Cricetulus griseus: one gene and its partners. The protein of the gene in region 4 interacts with the protein of the main gene of each other region in a pairwise test. Links are inferred from orthologs where the notes say so. Each region holds a gene or a part of one and is shown on either strand. Other genes may lie near its edges. The genes, in order: Utp25, Syt17, homeobox protein Hox-B9 and Mid2.

Region 1 (3,561 bases), on a different chromosome or scaffold from region 4:
TCCAGTTCCAGGAGATCTGGTACCCTCTTCTGACTTTCATAGGCACCAGGCATGCATGTGGTAAATACACATACATGCTGGCAGAACACTCATACACATAAAATTAAATAAATCTAAAAATAAATGCAGCAAGTTTCTGCTGAGTAGAAAATCAGAAGATGCTTAGCAAAGAGCTAATTTCTAACTACCCACCATTCTTGTTCAAGTAAGAAACTCAACAGTGTAACTCTAGTCAAACCCGGAGATTCCTATCACAAGTTAGGGCAATCTGCCTGATTCTCCTACAGTGCACAACAGAGACAGACAGCCTCAATGTCATGTCCATGCGCCTGAGGCAGCCTCCTAGAAATGTAACCAGCTGGCCAAAACAGTAAGTAATTTGCCCTGTGCCGGTCCAAGATTTAAAAGGCTAGATTACTGTCCTGTTGGTGACACTAAGTAAGTGTCCACACTTCATTCCCCAGCTATTAAACAAGAGGCCAGACTGAAAAATCCTTTAAAAGCCATAACTGTATCTACTCCCTTGAGACCTGTAGAGCTCAGTAAGCGTCTAAAAGCATGAGCCTCTTCCAGGAGATGGGGGAGCAAGTCAAAGAACAAGGCCTGGCTCCCCTCGAGGCATCACGAAAGACAAGATGAGGACAGAAGTAAATCCATTTCCTTTCTTGATAGAACCTCAAACATGCCAGAGATCAGGCTAAGAGCACAAGCAAACACAGTCATCCCTTTAAGCATTAGGAACGTCACAACAAAAACGGGTGTCTGTGGCTTGGTGAAGAGCCCAATTCTAGTCCATCTCTGTTAACCTTTCCCCCATTCTCTTTAGCTGGACCTTCTGTGAATCTGGGTCTGCCCATAGCTGTCACCTATAAGGACTAAATAAAAAACTCACTAGGGTGCCAGTAAGCCAAAAGTCACCAGGAAGAGACCACCCCCAATGGGGTGCTTAAATAAATGTGTTTCAGGTTCACTGCTGACAGCATCTGAAGCCCCTGCACTGCCTGGCTTGCTCAACAGTTCATATGAGGATTCTCTAACCAGTCAACTGTCCACACGCTCATGACTCAGCAGTGCCTCACAGCCTCCTTGAGGACAAAGCTCTCCTGCTGCCGCCACTCACCTTAGGCCTGGTTAGCCCTTGGTCCCTGAAGTCATCATCCTCACCCACCCCAAGTTTCTGGCTCCGGCGCCTACTGTTGTTAGCTAACACTTGGGCATTCGCTTTGAGGACGTGGTTTATGGCATGCAGGCAGTACACATGGCGGACCTCTTCTCCATTCTTCAGGGCAGTCCGCTCTGGGTAGAACAGGTCCCGGTAAGAATTCATAATTAAGAACAGCTCTTTCTGGAGCGGGGTAAAGGGGCTATTTGATTGTTGAGGACCAGATAGGAATTGGCTATTGGTTTTTTTCCAGGTGGATTCTAGAGGCTTCTGAAGATGAAGTGACTTCATGTCAACATCCTTCGGAGGTTTAAATGTTTCCATCTTCTGGAACTTTGATGAAAAGACAAGCTGTCCCAGGACGGGCCACTAGGGGTAGACAGATTGAGAGCTAAGTTAGGCATGATTAACAACCCGACACTCACAGGGTACTTGATGATTCACAGACTAGCCCGGAGCCTGACTTCATACCTGAGCTCTGTCTCTAGTGTTTCCTTCATATTCTGAGGGTCATGTCTGGGAACAATGAAAATTCCTTGGCAATGTGCTACAGTACAAGGTGTGATACTAAAGGCTCTACTTGTCTCAGTCCTGATCCCTCCCCCCCTCCCCCCCTCCCTCCCTCCCTCCCTTAGTCTCCACTGCTCCCTTTCTCCCTATTCCTTTTTAGATATGCCCAGTCAAGCAATGCTACTTTGTGAGACACATGTTTAGAAATTCTTCACTGTAGAAAACTTGCTGATCTAAAATTACAGCAACTTCAACAACAAAAGAAAGGAGCCACAGACAGCCGAGCAGCCTGGGTGACTCTCCAGGGAGCTGTGCTGAATGAAGCAGCTGGTGGCTAAAGTCCCACCCTGGGTGACTCCAGTTACTCAACTGTGAACTGACGAGCTCCCAGAAACAGAGATGAGCTCAGGAGGTTAAGGATTTAGGAGTGAGGAATGTGAACGGAAGTGTGTAAGGTAAAAAGGAGCAACAGAGCCAGGCATGGTGGCGCACACCTTCAATCCCAGTACTGGGGAGGCAGAGGTAGACAGATCTCTTCTGGTGATTTGAGGCCAGCCTGGTCTACATACCAAGTTCCAGGCCTGCCAGGACTACATAGTGAGACCCAGTTGATAAGACACACAGTGCTGGTGTTCCACACCCTACTGCGCTAGTGGAAATGAGATCCTATAAGAAGTACAACACTGTACACAGGACCCGAGTCCAGGGATGCAAGGCCAGGGTAAGCAGAGTACTTAGCCCTGCATGCATGAGTTAGTTCCAAGCAGCAATAAATGGCATCTATGTCCACTTTCTGGTTGTGATACTGTACTGTACTCTGCTATCTGCTACCGGTTGTGTGTGTATGTGTGTGTGTGTGGGTGTGTGTTACACCTGCACATGTATCTGCAAAGTCAAAAAAAGGGAAAGTGAAGTAGACCTTGTATGGCATCACATCCATAAATAACCCCAACACTTGGGAGGCTGAGGCCAGAGGAGAGACACAAGCCCAACGTCTGACAAAATGAAACTCCCTATGAATAATATATGCCAATAAACCAAAGACCACAGTTTCTTCGGGGTTTCCCTCCGTGCCTGGAAAACCAAACAGCACTTACTTTTAGTTGCTGGGTAGTTGGAGGGCTTGAAGTGGCAGCTTGGACCTCCTTTTCTTTCAGTTCTTTGTTGACATGTTGTTGAAATGGATCTAATTCAGAACAGAGCAGTGAGCACAGGGAACAATGCAGGGCTTTCTAGTCTGAGAGTGATGGACTCGTGTCCCATCACCTCTGAAAATGACACGTTCACCTCTAGTCCCTGATGAGACCAACATGCTGATCTTCCTGGCAACGAAAGCTTAGTAAAGAGCGCCTGGCAAGCTGAACACAACATCCCAGCCTGAAGCCTCACCTCAAGTTCAAGCCTTGGCCGCTGCACTTGAACCCATCTCTTCTGTGATTTCTGAACTACACAGCCGAAAGTTCTGCTTCTGAGTCTTTCCCTTTACACCAAAAATCCTCTCACCTGCATGCTACTCCTTCACAGAAAGGTGCCTTGTGGGGGTCGACCGTGCCAGGCACAGCACTGGCTCCAGGCAGAGGTTAGAGCTGGCTCCCCTTTGACATCACATTCTAGTCCTTACCATGCCACACCAATTCAAACAAGCCAGCACAAGTTCCTGTCCATCTGGCACATGGCAAGATTCCTGAGGGCAGGCTCCATGCGTTCTGCACAGCAAAGGAAGGCTGGGGCAAGATGAGCCACTCTCACCTTGGGACGTTCTCTGGGAGGAGCTGCTGCCTCCACTGTCCTCTTCCAGAAAATTGGTTTCCAGGCTGAACAGGGACTCGTGTTTTGCATCTGTGAACTCCTCCGAGGATTTCTGTGACGCATCGGCCGGCTCTTCGCCA
Region 2 (4,080 bases), on a different chromosome or scaffold from region 4:
CTCCCAAATGCTAGATTTTTCCTTGTGTGCATTACATACTTAATTACTTCCATATTCCTTTACTCATTTATCTCCCCTGGAGGCTAGGCTGGGCAGAAATTTGATCCCATTTTTATTGGTGAAAAGATCGGGACGCCAAGAGGTTGAAATGACAACTCGATGAGTTGGTGAGCAGCGACACCAGCTGCCAGTGATGGAAAATAGAAACTCGAGGAGGGCCCCGTTCTACCTCAAATCCCTAGCGGGAGGCTTGCACCAACCTCAGTGGCCTTGCAGCGGAGACCCTGGGCTGGGAGATGTGCTGGCAATCTTCCAGTGCTGGGGTTCAGCCCCGCGGGCTGGCAGGCGAAGCAGACCGGCAGCGACAGGTCCTGGACACTGGGATCCCAGTTGCCCTCGAGCCGTCACGCCCCGGGCGCAGCCGGACGCTGGGTGGCGCTGCGCGGCCGCCCTGCCCCAGACCTGTTGCGTCCTGGGCTCCAGCCGAGATGGTTAGGGTAAAGGGTCCCACACAGAGCCGAGCGAGGATAACAGTTCCCCTGCCTCAGCACTGTCCTGGGGACTGCCAGGTCCACCTTAAATAGGTGGCGCCTGCCATTCAGCTTCTACACACTCCCCAGCCCGGTTCTAGGCGCGTCGTGTGCGGCTGGCATAAAACTTTAGCCAAGCAGCTTGGGGAGAGGGAAGGATGAAGCGGACCTTCCAACTCCAGACCCCACAGTGTGCTGCGCGGTGTCACCTCAGCCTCTCAGGCGCCCCGGAAGCCCTGCTGTCGATCAGGCAGTGGATCGGTACCACTCTAGTGCCTGCCGGCGGCGCTGACCGGGGCACCGCCTCCGCCCACCCCTTCGCGGTCCCCATCCCCTCCCCCGCCTCCCGCGCTTGGGCCCCAGCGTCGCCAGCCCCGCCTGCTCCGGGGTCGCCGCAGTTCCCGCGGCTCGCCCGGGACTTCCTGGCCAGGAGCCCGCTTCATTGCAACCCGGGAGCGCCCCAAGGTGTGGGTGTGGGTGCTGGTCCACCAGAAGCTGAAGCCGGGGACCTCGGGGCATCCCGGTTCTGCGCTCCAGGGAGGCGGCCCCGCAGAGCTGGGCAAGGACGGGGCGGCCGGTGGAGGGGCGGGCACCGCTCATCAGTCACGCCAGTCACGTCTGGGGCCACCCGGCCGCCCACTGGTGTCTTGCCGGCTGGCTGTGCCACCTCGCCGGGCCGGCGAGGGCAAAGGGGCTGTGGCGACGCCATGCCCGGGCCGGAGTGAGTGAGCGCGGGCGAAGATGGCGTACATCCAGGTAGGACTGTGGCTGGGGGCGACCGCCAGGGGATAGTGGGGACCGCGCCCCCTCTGCCGGGAGCGCGCGACGCAGGAGTGCGCACCCGCCGGCTCCCACAAACTTACTGGAGGAAAAAAAAAAACCCACAAAAAACAACAAAACAACGGGTTCCCCAGAGCAGGCACCTGTGCGTGTCCTGGAGCCTGGGCAGGGGACCACAGACCCGATATGGAGGGCCCTGCGTGGGGCCTGCATCCTCGCACTCGTCTCCTTGGAAGGGGAGACCGTAGGGTGACTTTGCACGCCCCCCCGTCCCCCCAGCACCCACCCCAGGGGAGGGGCCGCGGGAGGGCGGCCCGGGGCGCGCCAGCCACCCGGCCCGCCAGCGCCCGTTGCCGTGGTGACGGCTCCGGCTAATTGGCCGGTGGAGCCAGCTGGAGGCAGCTGTTCAGACCTGGAGGGACAAGGACATCGTTCGCCCCGGCACTGGGTGCAGAGGGGTGGGGACATCCAGAGACCAGTGCCCTCTGATGAGGGCTGTGGAGACAGTTACTTCAGTCCATTGAGGTCTGAGAAGTGCAGACACACATACACACACCACACACACACACACACACACACACACACACACACACACACACACACACACACACACACACACAGAGACCACCCCCAAGACTCAGACGGAGAGAATTTCCAAGTACCCCCTATCTCCCCCCCACACACACACCTTTGGAGGGGGCGGATGGGGATGGACTGTTCTGCTTGGCAAAGAAAACCGTTTCTTTTGCAAATTGCAAAGTGGTGACAGGTCATCGCCAAGGTCACGCGGTCAGACCAGTAAATAGATACCAGGAGCTGCGGGGGGTTCTAGGGCTGCCTGCTCTTAGCCAGAGAGGAAGCCAGCAGACTGGATCCCAGGTCCAGGGACTCATCTTCCCTCTCCCAGCCTTAGCTGGGGGCGGAGGGCGGGGGGGGCGGGGGGCGGGGGACGACTGCAGACCCTCTAGGGCTCTCCTGATCTCTTGTCCCCAGCTCCTCCAATGGTCTGTCACCTGGTGGAACTTGACCACCAGGTCCTCCTCTGGCTTTGATCCCCAGGAATGGTTTGCAAATTTTTCATGGATTGCCTAGGTCCTGATTTCAAGTTCAATGAAGGTCACATTTACTGTACATCTACTGTGTCTTGGAAGTTGTTGGAATACTGTTCAATAGTTGCTTAACGACACCAGAATGACAGCAATTATGGAACATCCCTGAGGACATAGGTCACAGTCCCTTCCCCTCTGATGTCCAAGGGAGTGAGCAGAGAACAGTGAAACAAGTTTTTATGGTTCTTCATCGAATTAATACATTTTCTTTTTCTGAGACAGGCTCTCACTATATAGCCAGGTTAGCCTTGTGATTCTCCTGCCGCTGTCTTCTGAGTGCTGGGATTACAGTGGTAGGTCACTCACTGCTCAGCTACCTAAAACCATATTTCAGCACAGAGAAGTAAAGTCACTTGTCAAGGTCACACAGCTATTTAGCAGTCACAGTGGTATCTGAACTGTAGGCTAGGAGGGGATGTATAAGTTGTGCATCTCAATGGTTCTGCTTCCCTCTTAGAAGCAGTCTTTGAACTTCTACAGAACACAGAGACTAATTTTTTTTCTTCTGCCTCAACTTTTCAATAGGGAAAACAGTACTAAGGCAAGCACAGAGGGAGGTCAGAGTGGGCATGGCTATGAACCCACAAAGCTTATTTGTTTTGGTCAATGAGTTTCAGAGACTTTCTGAAAGTCAGGAAATAGTCGTCTGTGATGTTTTGCAGCCATTTAAAAAAATACACAAATCCACTGGGTCGTGGTTGCCAACGCTTTTATTCCCAGCACTCTGGAGGCAGAGGTAGGTGGATCTCTGTGAGTTCAGGCCAGCCTGGTCTACAGAGATAGTTTCAGGACAGCCAGTTGACACACAGAGAAACACTGTCTTGAAAAACCAAAAACCAAACAAAACAGGAATCCTTTGCTTGAGGACTGGGTAGTGGCCCACCATGGGGCTGTGAGCCGGGAGTCTGCTGACCTCTGTGTGCCATGCCTGGGGTTTTCTCTTTATGCTTCCTGGTGGGAATCAGTTCTCCACTGGTATCAGAAGAGTGAGCCCAGAGGATGGAGTGAGGCAGGATGAGGCCCTGACTGCGGGCCTCCTTTCCCATTCCCTTTGCCCCTGTCGTGGGTTGCTCCTGGGCCACCATGTCTTACCTGGGCTTTGAGAAACTGTGCATTCCTCTGGCACCTTTTCTTCTCGCCATGGCTATATAAAAGGCCCTGAGAACACACCTGTACATTGCTAGGATGCCACAGGTGCTTGGAAAGCATTGTTTTGCATTAAACTTTTCATTTTGTGGTGACTGGGGGAACCTGGAGGACTAGGGAGGACTGCACATCTCAGGGCATGTGTGACAGTGAGAAAACAGCTCTGGGAGTCACTTCTCTCCTTCCACCATGTGGGTCCTTGGGATTTAACCCAGGTCATTGGGTTTGATGGCTGGCAAGCACCTTTACCTACAGAACTGTCTTACCAGCCCTCAGTTGTTTGTTTGGCTTTTTTTTTTTTCTTTTTAGACAAGGTCTTGCTGTGTAGTCCAAGCTGGCCTCCCTTCACCACCCCCCTTCCTCAGCCTCCTGAGGCCAGGATGATGGGTCTATGCTCAATTTATAGCAAACATCTTCAAGCCGTTTCTCATGCCAGCCCCATGAGGGCAGAGTTTTTATGGCTTGAACTTGCCAGGGTGGTTCTTGATGCCCAGGAGGCATAACCTTGTCTCAGA
Region 3 (4,272 bases), on a different chromosome or scaffold from region 4:
GGGCCGCAGGGCCGCAGAATAGCTGCTAATAAAATGCACTATTTGGAAGCTCCACCAGAGGATTGTAGGGGGGAAGGCTGCGGGTGGGGGACACGGACTGGTTCTGGGGACTCCGCTGTACTTGGTACTGCCCTATGTCGGCATTTGGACATCTTCCAGAGCTGGACAAGTACTAAGAATTTAGCTTGCCTCCTTCCCTTTTTGGATGGAAAAGGAAAGTAACCGGGTGTCGCTTACTGTGCTGTTTGGGGACCCTCTCCCTACCTCTGGAGAGCTCCTTTAATCATTTCTCACATTGGCCTCCTCATCTGGACAGTTTTACGGTCTCAGAGGATTCTGGACGAAGGACAGAAGAAATGGCCGTGGACCCAACCCTTCATAAAGGCCCAAGAAATGTCAGGGAGTTAAATAAGACTGGTTAGTCCCGTGAAACTCTTTCGTAGACTAGCTACGGGGTCTGGCTAGTCCCTTTGGCCTGAGGCAGGCTCTAATTTCAGGCCAGATAGTGAGTCTTTGGACATTGGTTCCACTGAAATTCCCTTTCTCCTCCCTGAGCTCCTGGAGGATCAAGAGAAGAGCCTAGTCATGTAAATCTCCCCAAATTGTGCCCTGATTCCCCTCCAAAGAGGATAACTGTCCTATAAAACCCCCAACTTCTTCCCCACCCCTTTACTTTCTCTCCTGTGGGTCGCTGTGCTGCTGTTGTTTAATAAACATCTCTGTCAAGGGGACAGAGGACAGGAAATGAGGGCCTGCGGGGTGGAGGTGGAGGTGTTGGGGGATGACAAGACTACCTCCTCTTTAATTACCCTGTCGGGCCTCTCCCGCTGCTCTGAGGCTGGGGCGCTCTCTCTCCCAGTATGCTGGTCCTCCTCCCCTCCCTTTCTAACCCGCCTGGGGAGAGGGCTCCGCAGCCATCATCCCTCCAGAGGCAAGCCCGCTGCTTGCCTCCGCCTCTCCTCCGCCCCCATCGCCCCATGTTGAGAACCCCCCTTCCTGCAAAAGCGGGAGGGGCCCCGGGCGGCCCGGCAGCTCTGGCTGAGGTTACGTGGCCGCCGGAGCCCTGACGTGATAGCACATTGCATCAGCATAAAACAATCCATCCTGGATATGGAATGCGGTGAGGACGGATGACAGCGCGAGCGCAGCCCCCTCGCCCGATTGATTTATGTCGGAGCTGACGCTTTATCAGGCAGTCCGCAAAACTTTGACCAATCATTTTGCAAGGAGCTCCGAGCCGGGCTGCTCCACTGTACTTTGTTGGCTGAGAAGTTGAGCAGGGGGTGGGGTGGGAGGGTGGGGGTCTGGGGGGGTCGCGTCCGAAAGCCCTCTACACCGGGTCCGTGTGCCACCTCTCCCTGCTTGGGCGCCGAGGCGCGAGCGCTTCCCTTCCCCCTGCGAGCGCGCGGATAATGTCTGAGAATGTCCATTTCTGGGACGCTTAGCAGCTATTATGTCGACTCGATCATAAGTCACGAGAGTGAGGACGCGCCTCCAGCCAAGTTTCCTTCAGGCCAGTACGCGAACCCGCGGCAGCCGAGCCACGCCGAGCACCTGGACTTCCCCTCGTGCAGCTTCCAGCCCAAAGCGCCGGTGTTCGGCGCCTCCTGGGCGCCGCTGAGCCCGCACGCGTCGGGGAGCCTGCCGTCCGTCTACCACCCCTACCTGCAGCCCCAGGGCGCGCCGGCGGCAGAGAGCAGGTACCTCCGCACCTGGCTGGAGCCGGCGCCGCGCGCCGAGGCCACCCCGGGGCAGGGCCAGGCGGCGGTGAAGGCGGAGCCGCTGCTGGGCGCGCCGGGGGAGCTGCTCAAACAGGGCACGCCCGAGTACAGTTTGGAAACTTCGGCGGGCAGGGAGGCTGTCCTGTCTAATCAAAGAGCCGGCTACGGGGACAATAAAATTTGCGAAGGAAGCGAGGACAAAGAGAGGCCGGATCAAAGTAAGTTATAAAAAAAAAAAAAAAAGTGAGGAAATCCCCCCCCAGGCTGCAGGCCAGGCCCGGGGGAGGGGAGGAGAGAAGCCATAAAGCGGACAATGTGGAGGGACAGCGCGCCGGGGGCTGCAGGGCTAGAGGGGGTGGAGGAAGAGGAAGGAAGGGACCTGGGTAGGAAGAAGCTGTGTGCCATGGAGGGGGACAAGGAGGCCACCCCTACTCCTCCTAGTGGCGCCTGGACTGAGCCTCAGGGATCAATCCTCTAGTCCTTCCTCCTTTCTCCCCCTTCGGCTGGAAAGGGGGAAAGAGAGCTGCGACAGTTGCTTGAGGAGCGAGGGGGCCGGGCCGGTGGCCAGCGTGGCCCAGAGCCCTCGCGGGCACGGGCCGGAGCGCACCCGGCAGAGCCGCCTGAGCCACGCGCAGACGGTCCCCGCCGGCCAAGGGGAAGGGGGAGGGGGCTCATTAGGATTTTATTTGCGATGCAACAGCTTGGCTGAGGATTGTTCCTAGCAGATCTCACGCAGTAGCCGTGTCGGGTCGGCAGCCGGCGCCGGGAGGGGCGGGGGAAGCCCAGGATGCGGTGACCGAGCCCCCTCCCGGGTGCGCCGGCCCCTCCCCGGGAGCCTTCCTTCCAGGATCCCCCGCCCTCCTAGGGCATCCTCGCCAGGGTGGCCGCTTCTGCCTCTGCGTTTCCCAACCCCCTCCGCGGGGCTCTGGAGCACTAGCCGGGGACAGTCTGCCTCTCAGAGAGTCTGGGAATCACTTGCTAAAGTCAGGGCCCACCTCCAGAATGGAAAAGAAGACGTCCCGAAGGGACCCGGGGGAGGGGTGGGGGGAGACTGCGCAGGGGCGGAGAACTCTACCCTTAGCGGAGAGTTTCTTACCACCTCCCATTCCTAAAAGCACCCTTGCTAAAAACCCCGTGCGGAAAGCGATGCTGGCTGAGAGGATTCTTTTACTTGTCGTTTTTTTAAAGGTGGGAAAAACAAACCGGTTGGGGGCTCTTAGTTCCCAAACAATTATGGACAGATTGACAGGTCAACTCCTCACCACTTACTCCTTTGGACAAGTAGTTTAGTTCTTGCTTGCCTTGTCAGATTTCCCACCAAAAGAGTAGCCAATGGGTCCTCTGGGGGCATGCTTGCCCTCTGAAAAGTAAGGAGAGACTCTGCACCCCCCTCCCCGCCCCAGGCCTTTGCAATCCCCATACCTCCAACCTGCCAGGTTGAGTCATTAGGAGCTGATATCCGGGAACACAGCTCTTCCCAAACCTCCTGCAAACACCCAAACAGAGCCCTCACCCCATGGCCCCAAACTCGGCCTGGAAAGCCCATTATTGCACAGCAGCCGTTTGGCTAGGATCAATTATTAACAGTTTCCCCCCCTCTTTCATATTTAATGTGGCTTCGGGTCCCATCCCAGGCAATCACATTAAGAAAATAGCGCTGCAAATTGGTAAGACACGCTACTTAGTGTAGGATGAACTGAATTTTAAAATACACACAGACATTCAGGGCTTTTCACTTGGGGAGGGAGAAGCTGGTAGAGGGGGATCTTACTTGTAATAGGCTCCGCTTTTGGGGAGCAACTTTTCTGTGTCCTGGGGTCCAGGGAGAGATGCGAAAGAGAAAAAAGAAAAGCCTGTATACATTATTTCCTGATTTTGCCCCTCTTCTCTTGTCTCCCCTCAGGGTCAGTTAGAAGGCTTGTTAAGCCTAAAGGACTTTCTGTTACTCCTCCTCAGCTCTGTCTCCCCACCTTGGGGCTGGAGCAATTTTGCTTCCCAGTTTCCCTGAACTTGTGTTAACCGAACTCTGAGCTGAGCAGCAGAAAGGAAGAGGCTATTGCCACCATAAGTTATCTGGGAGCCCCGGGGCTCCCCTGTCCACTGGCTGCAATTGATAAATGGTTGCAATTGGGTTTCTTGTGAGTTGGGAGTGTGCTGGGTGTTCCTGGCTGTAAATGTGAACTCTTATTTGTGGTGTGCGATGGGGAGGGGGTATCTATTCAGAACTCACATGTCTGCTGCCTCCTGGCCTAGAGCTGAGAGATGGCTATCTGGGCAGGGTTTCCTGGGACTGAGCTGAAGGGCCAAGAGATCTCTTGGCTGTGGCTGAACAGGACTCCCTTGTCAACCCAATTCTTCCCCTTTCCTCCCAGACCTAGAGCCAAGGTCAGCCACTTTTAGCCGGTAGTGTGGCTTCAGCTATACTGACCTGAGTCCAGGTTTGTTTGGATACAAGTAGAAAAAGGCTGTGAGCCTGCCTGGGGCAGTGGAAGCTTTGGAGATGCTCTGGTAGTTTAGCTCTATCCCCTTAAAGGGCTATTTACTTGGAACT
Region 4 (4,039 bases):
ACTGTGTTGATTGTGCATTCTATTGTGTAGGTGTTAGGTGCTATGTAGTCTCATATGTCATTTGCTTTTGTTGTCTGTGTTTTGGGTATGACGCATTAACTTTAAGATCTCTCAGCCCTGTACTTCCCTTAAGGTAGCATGGTTGGGTTTTTCCCCTTCATTTCCACTCCATAGTTCTCTAGCACACTGTTTAACAGTGCTGTTGGGTGACTGCTATTGGTTCCCTGACAAGACACACCCAGCAACCTTCATTTTTTTTCTGGATTTGTTCCCAAGCACAGTAATAGGAGGCTCATGTGATTGCTTTCCTCTTCTCTCTTTTTGAGTGGAGTTTAAAGCAGTATCCTCTGGGGCAGCTTCCTTCTCTCATCCACCTTAAGAGGGGCAGTGGTCTTTGAGTCAATAGTAAATAGGCTGACTCCAGACCAATGGGAGGCTCCTGGGTTCCAAATGGACCAATCTTCTTAATAGGGACCTAGCATTCTTGGATGACTAGCTTCTGCCTCTTTGACCTTCTGTTAATGACCATCTTGTCTTGTTTGTCAAGTGTCTGAAGGTGCAAAAGAAACCTTTACTCCCCCATACACTTTCAGTGGCTTTAATCCACCCGAACAACTTGTGGCCAAGGCCAATAGAACACAGCCACTCTCCCTTTGTAAAAAGAGAAAGGGGTTGGGTTTCCTTCAATTGTCTGTCCTTCTCTATCTCTTCCATGCCTCTCTAGTTTTACTCTCTAGTTAACTTTGCATAGTACAATAGTACAGCTTCATCAGGAGGACCTGTGCGGAGGTTCCAGGCAGACTCTTCTCATTGGCGGGTGCCTTTTCCTTGCTAATCTGGGGGTTTGTGGAGGTAGTGGGTGGTGGGTGGGAGAAGAGTTTGGCCATAGTCTTCCCTCTGCACTTCACACACACTACCCGCTCGCAGACGCACGCATACTACACACACACACACACACACACACACACACACACACACACACACACACACACACACACACACACACACACGCCTGCTCAGACCCCTTTTCCCTGTGTCTTCCATCAAGATGACAGGGCGCTGGAGAAAAGGCTGCTGGAATCAGCTGGTAGGTACAGTAGTAATCTGAACCCCACCCACCCGCTGCCTTTGCTTGCTCAGGTTTCTCCGGTCACTCCTGCCGGGGGAGAAAACATGTAAGCGCGCCTCCAGAGGAGGGGCACGGGGAGCTGGGAGTGGCGGGGGCGGAGGAAGGTGAGCCTAGGAAGGTGGCCCAGCGCCCCTTCTGCGCGGGCCCCTCCCAGTGCTCCCTTGGGGGTGTCAGCTTCGGCTCCGCTTGCCCCCACTCCACCCTCCTTTCGAAGGGATTGCTTTTTTTTTTTTCCTCTGCGGCGGCGGAAATGACAGTGTGGTGCTGCGGTGGTGTCATGGTGCTGCCTCTGGACTGAGAGGCGAAAACTCTCAAGTTTCGCCCGGGAGACCCAGACGCGGGAACGTCGCGGTCTCCGTGCTGTCCCCTGTGGGGCGCGCGGGCTGGCGGATCCCGGCTGCTGCGCGGCGGTGGCGGCGGCGGCCGCAGCGGCGAAGGCAGGCGGCGGCCTAGAGTGGTGGTGGCGGCGGCGGCAGCGACAGCGGCCCGGGAGCTCGCACGGGAGCCCAAGCCAGCTTGCTGCGGAGGCCAGCGAGCGGCCGACGCTCCCAGGCGCGTGTAGGACATGGCTGGCACCCGAGAACAATATGGGTAAAAAAATGCGTCCCCTCGTCGCGGCCCTTGGGTGGGTGGGGGGGTCGAGTGTCGCCGCCCGCGCAGGGCTCGGCCCCGGCTCCGGTTGCTCTTCAGGTGCCAGCGTTGGCCGAGGATACCCGGGCTCGGCGGGAAGGGGAGGGGGGGAGACAGGGTCCGCGAGGCTCCAGGCGGCAGTAGCGGGGCCCGCGGTGTCTGTCACACTGTGGTGACCCGGGTTCCTGCCACTGCCCTCGTGCGAAGGAGTTTGCACTCCTGGATCCCAGGCGGGGAACGGCCCGAGGCCTCCCGCTTGGCCAGGCCCAGCCGGGAGAAAGCAGTGGAGCGGCTCTCCTGGCGCCCAGGCGCAAGTCTGGGAAAGGGCGCAGCCGCCTTCCCACGCTCCCGCAATCCACGGCGTCCTCGGCCCGGGCGGCGCCCCGTGGTCGGCGGTTTGCTCAGCGGTGCTGGCGCAGCAGCCTGTGATGCTGCGGACACCCAGCCGGCGGGAACCCGGGAGAAACTTAATCCCCCCTTTTCGCTGGAGGAAGCAAGGGATCCTCAAGTCTCTGTCTGGGTGGTTCCTTATTTCTGGCCTAGCTGTGAAAGCAGCGCCGTGGGGGGGGGGGGGAGAAGGAAAACTTGAGGGTGTCCACAGGACACACTGCTACTGAAGCAGGAACATTTGAGGCTTTTCCCATTTCGGGCTCGTAAGAATTAAGTAACGGCAGGCAGATTTACTGTAACACTACTGGCCATGAGCTGGCTTAGGTTATTTCGCACTTCACGTGCAGCACATTATTTATTTATTTAGTTTGGAGGCATTTCTATTTCGAGCAGGCAATTAGGATCCTGAGATGATGGGACTCCTCACTTTCCACTCTCTTGGCACTCCTTATGCACTGACACTAGTATGCCTCTTATTCCTGCCTCACAACATTTGTCCACCCACGTCTCTCCCCAGAGTCCCCGCACTCTCGGCTTTTCTCTACCAACCTGTGCACATCATCCAGCAACGCACCTTCTTGCTTTTCAATCACTTTGCTTTTTTTCTTTTTTGGAAGATTTTGTAGGGTGGGGCCGGTGAATGGCAGTTGTGTGTCTCCGAGGGGGAGTATTTATGAAGGAAAACCCTGGAAATTGTAATAATAGACAACTGTTGTGTGGGGATTAATTAATCCGATTTTCAAATTGGACCATAAGGGCTGACTTTAATTCGATTCTACTTCCTCTCCGAAATCGAATCAACTCTGACAGAATTCCAACAGGAGAAGGGGTTGCCAAATAGAGAGTTTATATTTCTCACTTCTGCTTATGGAGCCTCTGCTATACCCTGGCTTAGCACCTCACCACACACACACACCTTTTTACCTCCCCACTCATCACTGCCCTGAGGGAGAGTCAGTTTTTGTTATTTTTATATATTCCTGCTCAATTAACTTAATACAGACTCATAATGTGAATTAAATTTCTCTTGATTGTTCCTTACAAAACTTGATTCATGTGGTTGAAACACAAGTCTTGGAGCCAAGATCAGAGAGTCCATTGCAAATGTGATGTTGCATTGGCTTTATGGCCTTTAGACATTTGTATGACCTTTCTTTGACAGTTGCTGCCCTTGCATAAAAGGCATAATATTATGCACTGGGTATTGTGAGTATTGGCTTGGTCCTTTGAAGATAAAAGGATTCTATAAACCTCAGCATTATATTTTTCAATGAAAGCACTTCATTTATCCTTTATTGGGTTACTGGGTTGACTGGGTATAAATGGGAACACTAATTTACAGAAACCTTAATTTGCCATTATTAGTCCCCCTGGGATCCAAATCATTATTGTAATTTAGATCTTAAGTCAATTTGTTTCACCAAATGTATGTGTAGCTGAATGGAAACATACACAATTAGACATAGAAAGTAATGGTGATGATTTTAAGTCGAGTCATAAATCATATTGATTGCACTCTAACCTAACAATCTGAGTCAGACTCATTTGAATACACAACCTCACCCATTTTTAGCTAACATGGGGGCAGTTACTTAATGCCCAATAAAAAGTGGCATAGTTTTAGGTCTGGCTAGCCAAGCATGATTAGCACCTTGCAGCAGTGAGTCAATATTTTTTTAAAGAACCTTTAATATACAGAGGCCTCTGCTGATTGTGTTGAGGCCCTAGACTTGTCTCAGTATTTTGGGTTCATATTTGTGTTATGCTGAACTCTGCTTCCATCTCCAAGGCTAGGATGGGGCGGGGGAGTGTAATGTGTGGAGTAGAAAGAGCGGTTATGGACCATGAAGGGCTCTCTCTCTTCTATTTACTTTCATAACTACTAGGATT

Evidence for each region.
Region 1: the proteins of Mid2 (region 4) and Utp25 interact in binary tests that used the Homo sapiens proteins (3 or more experiments, as listed by UniProt). The link is inferred for Cricetulus griseus from reciprocal best matches to the Homo sapiens genes MID2 and UTP25.
Region 2: the proteins of Mid2 (region 4) and Syt17 interact in binary tests that used the Homo sapiens proteins (3 or more experiments, as listed by UniProt). The two-hybrid records come from large-scale screens. The link is inferred for Cricetulus griseus from reciprocal best matches to the Homo sapiens genes MID2 and SYT17.
Region 3: the proteins of Mid2 (region 4) and homeobox protein Hox-B9 interact in binary tests that used the Homo sapiens proteins (3 or more experiments, as listed by UniProt). The two-hybrid records come from large-scale screens. The link is inferred for Cricetulus griseus from reciprocal best matches to the Homo sapiens genes MID2 and HOXB9.

Annotation. Positions count from the first base shown.
Region 1 is NC_048598.1:2,106,734-2,110,294, reverse strand, and holds part of Utp25 (digestive organ expansion factor homolog), read right to left. Parts: coding exon 3,422-3,561; intron 2,859-3,421; coding exon 2,770-2,858; intron 1,532-2,769; coding exon 1,121-1,531; intron 1-1,120. UniProt on the Homo sapiens protein: Component of the ribosomal small subunit processome for the biogenesis of ribosomes, functions in pre-ribosomal RNA (pre-rRNA) processing. Essential for embryonic development in part through the regulation of p53 pathway.
Region 2 is NC_048596.1:82,172,084-82,176,163, forward strand, and holds the start of Syt17 (synaptotagmin-17), read left to right. Parts: upstream 1-1,271; coding exon 1,272-1,286; intron 1,287-4,080. UniProt on the Homo sapiens protein: Plays a role in dendrite formation by melanocytes.
Region 3 is NC_048600.1:109,428,835-109,433,106, forward strand, and holds the start of homeobox protein Hox-B9, read left to right. Parts: upstream 1-1,422; coding exon 1,423-1,939; intron 1,940-4,272. UniProt on the Homo sapiens protein: Sequence-specific transcription factor which is part of a developmental regulatory system that provides cells with specific positional identities on the anterior-posterior axis.
Region 4 is NC_048604.1:39,661,730-39,665,768, reverse strand, and holds the start of Mid2 (probable E3 ubiquitin-protein ligase MID2), read left to right. Parts: upstream 1-1,219; 5' UTR 1,220-1,716; coding exon 1,717-1,720; intron 1,721-4,039. UniProt on the Homo sapiens protein: E3 ubiquitin ligase that plays a role in microtubule stabilization. Mediates the 'Lys-48'-linked polyubiquitination of LRRK2 to drive its localization to microtubules and its proteasomal degradation in neurons.